Yarrowia lipolytica: one gene and its partner. The protein of the gene in region 1 interacts with the protein of each later gene in a pairwise test. Links are inferred from orthologs where the notes say so. Each region holds a gene or a part of one and is shown on either strand. Other genes may lie near its edges. The genes, in order: YALI1_D21565g and YALI1_E23313g.

The links.
Region 2: the proteins of YALI1_D21565g (region 1) and YALI1_E23313g interact in binary tests that used the Saccharomyces cerevisiae proteins (3 or more experiments, as listed by UniProt). The link is inferred for Yarrowia lipolytica from reciprocal best matches to the Saccharomyces cerevisiae genes NCS6 and URM1.

Annotation. Positions count from the first base shown.
Region 1 is NC_090773.1:2,154,784-2,158,437, reverse strand, and holds YALI1_D21565g (uncharacterized protein), read right to left. Parts: upstream 1,922-3,654; coding exon 824-1,921; downstream 1-823. Other genes in the region: YALI1_D21553g (uncharacterized protein), read right to left, coding at 2,364-3,113. UniProt on the Saccharomyces cerevisiae protein: Plays a central role in 2-thiolation of mcm(5)S(2)U at tRNA wobble positions of tRNA(Lys), tRNA(Glu) and tRNA(Gln). Directly binds tRNAs and probably acts by catalyzing adenylation of tRNAs, an intermediate required for 2-thiolation.
Region 2 is NC_090774.1:2,330,184-2,333,122, forward strand, and holds YALI1_E23313g (uncharacterized protein), read right to left. Parts: upstream 1,163-2,939; coding exon 1,140-1,162; intron 1,092-1,139; coding exon 815-1,091; downstream 1-814. Other genes in the region: YALI1_E23302g (uncharacterized protein), read left to right, coding at 50-553, 633-743; YALI1_E23325g (uncharacterized protein), read left to right, coding at 2,346-2,939.

The DNA of each region.
Region 1 (3,654 bases):
TTCATCGTAAGTGTGGACTTGCACCAGCTGAATTGCGGTTTGTATATTACTCGTGAGTCTGCTCGTCAATGTTACTGTACTGTACATACTGAACATACTTGACAATTGTGTAGGGCTAGAGGTGTCCATTTTCTTAGGTAAGACTTGCTCATATCACTGGAGATCCACTCGATTACTTTACAGTACATAATAACCGACCAATCGCTTCAAATTCGTATCACATTCATACATTCTGATCTCGTGTAAAGTTCCATATCATCCTATCTCCCGTCTCTCATGTAAGCCACCAAGCCACACATTGCAATAGGCATTCTTTGGGCTTATTCATGGCAAATATCATCATACGCCACCAATGCTGTACATTTAATCGGATGAACAATTTGATAGAGAGTGTGGTCTTTCTTTGGTGTCTTCTGTGCATCATATTGATATGTGTGCAACCTGATGTGCATGCTTCAGACGGAAATGACGTCATTCTGTTCACACCCATTCCTGAGCTGTTAAATTTCGTCTTCCAATCCCCTGTTTTCGCCATACTACCCTCCTTTCTCCACAATATGAATCTCATACTCGTGGCTTATCCCCACTCTCCGACTTTAGCCACACTTGTCGGACTCCGAAGAAGCAGAAATATGGGACGATAATGATTGATTGTTTCGTAATGTGGCTAATCCAGCTGTTCTGAGCCGTTCAGAGCTCCCTCTGCTTACGACTATGAGCTTAGCACGACAAATAGAGCACTTTTTAGATGCGTCTCGCTGGTGTTGATTCTTCACCCATCATGGCTACCCCATGTATCAATAAATAACTATGCTATATACCACTAAATACTCAAGGCCAGCTTCTCCAAGGTCTTGATGTTTTTAGCAGCTCCGTCAGCGCTGTCTCCCTCAATCTGCATCTTGGCTCGTCCAGCATTTAGACCCTCCAGCAAGACACAGGCCTTGCAAACGGCATTATGAGATAAATAGCCACACTTGGTGCATCTGTTGGAGAGCCCAAGGCTGGAATCAAATGCTAGAGGTACCGAACAGCCACCGGAGGGGACAGGTTTTTCCTCCACCTTGGCCTTCACAACCACAGAGCCCTTGCCTTTCTTCTCCTTCTTCTTCTTGAGCACAAAGGCTTCTCCAGAGTGAATGATGTCAATGATGGTAGACGGTCTAATGGCCTCCAAATTTTTGATCAGCGTACGAGCCGTGCCCCGGAATGCCTCGGGAGAGTATGTGCACTCGGTGGAAAAGTAGTCGAGCTTCTTGTAATGGGCATAAAGCACAATCTCCTTTTCATATGCGTACTTAAGAGGCTTACTTCTCTTGACAGGAGAGTCATCTGAACCAGTCACCAGTTCGGTACATCTATCCAGACGAGCAGTATCGCCCCGTAACAAGTTCATCAGCACTGTCTCGGCCATATCGTCAGCATTATGACCTGTGACGATATGTGCGATTCCTAGCTTGGCACTACCTCTATCAAGAGCCTGTCTTCGAAACACTCCACAGTAGGTGCAGTTGTTCTTGTTGCCGATCTGGGCCACAATCTGGTCCATGCTCCACCCGTACAGCTCACTGTAACTGACCACCTCCAGATCCATGTCGTACTGCACCTTGTTTCGCTTCACCGTCTCCAGAGAGTCGTCTCGGTAGCCATGGATACCCTCGTCGATAGAGAGCAGCACAAAGTCCACACCATAGTTGTACCGCTCATTCAGCGTTTTCATCACGTGCGCAAGCACCGTACTGTCTTTGCCACCACTGGCTCCAATGGCCACCCGTTCTCCCGGAAAGAAGAGGTTTGATTCAACAATCGTGTTGTGGATTTCGGTCTCAAACACGTTGTAGAAGCACGGTTTGCAGATGGGTTGCAGCGTCTTGGGTCGCTTCAGCATGGCCTTGCGGCACTCGCACAGCACACACAGCATTTTTCCGATCTTCTTGTGTTGTAGAAGGAGAAACGGCTAATTACTCAGCATTTTTCAAAAAATCACCCAGGTTGCGTTTTATACGCATGTTAAATGCTTATTTAGTAAGTTTATTTATGGTGGTTGTGGGTTCGATCCGGAGCCGCGTCAAAATGTTTTAATTTTGATATAATTTTGATATAACGCGCTTCTCGCATATCTGAGGAGCTTTACTGGCTTGTATAACCAAATGGTATTGATTTCAGCCTCATTCGAATCTATATACATCTAAACACGTGTGATCGTACGGCGCTGTTCCTGTTTTTTTTTTTTTCTTTTGTTTTTTTTTTTGCGAATTTTATTTTTCCGTGGATCCACACTAAGGTTATTTTCGTGCAGGGTGGTATTGGTGACGGGTCCTGTTGAGCCGCTTAATTCCATCTATACCGTCAAACAAACGCCATCACTGCGTTCCTCTCGTTTCCAGCTCTTGATTCGTATCTCTAACGATCCGCATTATCGTCTGCATTCTTACAAACCGCTCCATATCGTGGCTTAAGCCACATGCACGCACACCAAAAAGAACATAAAAAGAAAGAAAAGAAGAAAAGAAAAAGAAGAAAAAAAACACCCTGGACGAGTAGATCTGTAATGACATGATGGTTGGGAGCTTTCCTCTTACTGCGTTCTGAACCCCACATCTACCACCATGGCGACCATTGCAATTGATAGCAACCCTTTTCAGTCTCTGAAGGCGCTTTCTGAACCCCACTTTGACACTGAGCGTCCTCGAATGGTCCAGTCTTCTCCCTACACGGGTCAGGCTCACCTGCTGGACCTCGGAGGGGTGCCCCAAAACCTCCATGAGATTGTGGTTGCCCTCCGGGACCTTTTCCGGGCCGTCAAGCCCGATTATGCTGTAGGTGACTACATCGAGTCGTTCCCGTTTGAAGACCTGACTCCCCTGGTGCCCGAAGGCGTCACTCTTCACTGCGTGGCTTTCCGATCCCGGCTGTTTGAACACGTGCGAACCTCCCACGATATGCGTCAGAAGCTCTCCGACCTCGACGAGTCTTCTCATGCCGAGGCTAACAACTCTGGAGGTCTGCTCAAGTACTGGTTTGGCGTGCCCGACGAGGCCGGAAACAATCTGGCCACCTGTGTGTGGATCAGCAAGAAGCACGCTGACGACGCCACCGCTCATCAGCGTCATAATGCCGCCGCCAAGACGGTCCGAGGCTGGTATGAGAACTGGCAAGTAGAGATCTACGAATGGTCTCGGGCAGGACTCACCCGGGTCCGATAACAAGTTGCACAACGTACAGGGGCATCCCAGGATGAACGCGCCGAGACGAAGACGGCCGTCGTCCGAATCCGTTGGCTGTATTATTGATATTGTCTCCTCATGAGAATGGGTGGATTGATGATTCTTTAATGGCCGTCAGTGTTGCTGAACAGGAGCTGGGTCTGGGTGAAGCTATAGTACAAATCTCGTGCTATAGCATTTTTCAAGTCCTCCCTGAACAAGCCCCGCTAACCCCTTCTGCAGCACTTTCAAGGGTACTACGTCTGTGCATCATACCTAGCTAGCTACAAGTAGTTCAGGTACAAGGCACGGTCCTGAGTCACAAGTCGCTCAAGTCGTTCGAACGAAAGACATTATTTATATTATAGATCAACATGTTGTTGAAGATAAATACTTGTTTTGCTGTAGACGGTGAAGTGTCTCATATTGTAGCTACGGTACTACCTGC
Region 2 (2,939 bases), on another chromosome or scaffold:
GTTTAACTTCCTACTCCCACCGCACTCCCTCTACACACCTTCACCACACATGTCTCAGCACATTTTCGAGCTCCAGAACAAGCGTAACTCGCTGCGAGAGACGGTAGATGCGCTCTACGACGTGCTCAAGTCGCACAATGTCAACATGACCACTCCGCTGACCGTTGATGGCTTCCCGCGGGCGGATATCGACGTTCACCAGATCAGAAACACTCGCCACCAGATCATCCGGCTGGAAAACGACATTGAGGCCATTCAGAAGGAGCTGGAGGAAGCTGTTATGGGCCATTGGCAGAACCAGAAGGAGCAGACCAAGTCAAACGGTGATGGTACTGCTGTTACTACTAATGGCTCCGTTTCTGCACCTACCGCTACACCTACCGCCACGCGCAGCGACCACGTGGTCCCCTTTGCCGTCGTGGGCGTGGTGTCCGATGGCTCGCCTGCTTCTTCGGTGGGACTCAAAATCAACGACAAAATCGTACGACTGGGAAACGTGGAGGCTACTACTCCTCGTATCCCTCAAGCCTTGCCTCTCGCGGTTGTTGAAGGAGTGAGTATTATATTATGACATGGATGGGTTGGCTATGTGACTCTGAACAGGTTGTTTGTTTGTTTGTTTGCTAACACAGAACCCCGTGGATGTGGTGGTTCTCCGAGAAGAAGAAACTCTCACCCTCACGCTGCTCCCAGCCAAGTGGGAAGGAAATGGGCTTATCGGGGCGGCATTGAGACTGCTGTAAGTCGGTTCTTCCGCGACCCATGCTTATCGGCTCATTTTGACCCAGCTCTCTTTCTCTCCCCCTCTTTTCCTCTAACCTCCATGAAGAGTTGAGGCAAAGATGATGACATCTCGGGGCTGCAAAATGTACTGGTCTTCGCCCTCCAGCTCCCAGTCCGAATCGTTGATGAGCACCAACACCCCGGGACGCACACTTTCGTCCTGCAAGAAGATGTTTTTGCCCTCTTCTCGCTTGTGATCCGGCATCAGAGTCTCCACCATATGGTGCAACAGCCAATTGACTGAGGAGCCCTCCGGCACGTCCAGCACGTGCTTTTTGTTGCCGTCGAAGGCGGTTTCGAGCCCTCCACTGGGTTAGTTGACGTCGCGGGTGTTTCCTGCGCCTCTTGCTACTCACCTGAATTCCACAGTAATTTGCATGGTGTGCGGTTGGTATAGGCAAGAAGATGATGCATGCTTTTATTAATATAGGCACTTGATCTTGATTCTGCCTACAAGTAGATTAGGGTTACGACGAGGGGCATCTTTCTGTTGCTTTTGTGGCTAAAAGAGAAGTAGTGGCGACATCTGAACTGCTCCTTGATATATAATATGACTGATTAATGCATCATTTCAAATTTCAGCGTCAAGGCTGCCTTATTGCGATTGTTTTCGTTACTTATTAATATTCAACAAAAAATTGATATATAGTTATTTTTGTACTTGACATTTATAAAGTGTACTTTGGAGACGTGAGTTCAAATCTCACCGAGGACACAACTTGAAAATTTTGAGACAATTTGAGGGAAAAGATAAAAAAATTACCAAAATCGTCAGAAACGGTCAGAAACTTGTGAACTACTCAACCAATGCTTCATAAAACACTTTTGGTACTTCGACTCAACATGTAATTATGTAATTATACTCACACGTAACTAGATCCACATTACAACAGTTTTTCCCCTCTCACCTCACGCCCCCAACCCCTCCCACAATTACTAAGCAGCTACTCACCATTACTAAGCAGTCACATCATTACTAAGCTACCGTACCATTACTAAGCAAAAAACCACCATTACTAAGCAGCCACATTAGGTTGAAGTTATGGGGAATGGCGTCAGAACAGCAGAGTAAAACGGAGAGGCCTGCCATAAAATGGACTGACTATGGGAAATGTGGGTGTCACGTGAACGCCTGGAGTGGCTACCCAGCGTATGTGGTTCTTGTCTTTTTCCGCGCGGATTTTCCCCGTCAATTCGAAATTCCACGGCGTTCCATCAGCATCCACCAGTCACTTCTTGAGTCAGAGTGCCGTATGTTGTCTGAGATAGTGTGTGTACTGTATGTAGAAGAAAGAAAAAAAAAAAAGACATGGTGGGTTTATTTCGTCGAAAGTGGACGCTTTTTGGGCGCAGAAAAGGCCAATCTACTCAGAATAGAAATATGTATTTAATGGCGTGTCCATAATCCACCAAACTCTTTCCATACTTGCTCCACAAGCAGCTCGTGTGTCGTTCCTGTCGTATCTTTCAAACTTAGATTCAACTCTACTCCCACCACCAACATCTACTGTACACACTTGTTTTTGGACAACACTTGCACAACACTACACTAATCCCGCAAAATGAAGATCAGTCTTGTTGCTGCGGCCATGGCTCTGGCCTCCACTGCATCTGCCTGGGGCAAGAAGGCCGGCCCCGTTGAGATTCCCGTGGCTTCTCATCTGCAGTTTTCTGCCGTCGCCCAGATCGGCTCCAACTCGGACGTGGAGGCGTCTGACGCCGGATTTTTCGTCGCCAACACCTTCATCAACGGCGAAGACGTGCCCATCAACCTGGTGTTCGAGAACAAGGAGAAGGACCCCATCTCTGTGGTGGCCGTGGGAGGCACCTTCTACGACCTCAAGACCGACAAGGTGGTGGTCAGCGTCCAGGGCACCCAGGTGGGACCCATCAAGGTCGACAGCGGCAAGACCGCGGCCCTGACCCACCAGTTCGAGACCAACCTCGATGCCAAGGTCTACCGAAACGTCATCCAGGTCTACATCCAGTACGGCAACGAGGTGTACCAGGTGCACGCCTTTGACGGCCCCGTGTCGATTGTCGACCCCTATGTTTCTCCTCTGTCTTTCAAGTTCCTGTTTGCCCAGATTGTGCTGGGAATCACCGCCGCTGCTCTGGGATACTACGTTGTTAACGTGTACGCCATCCCATACGCT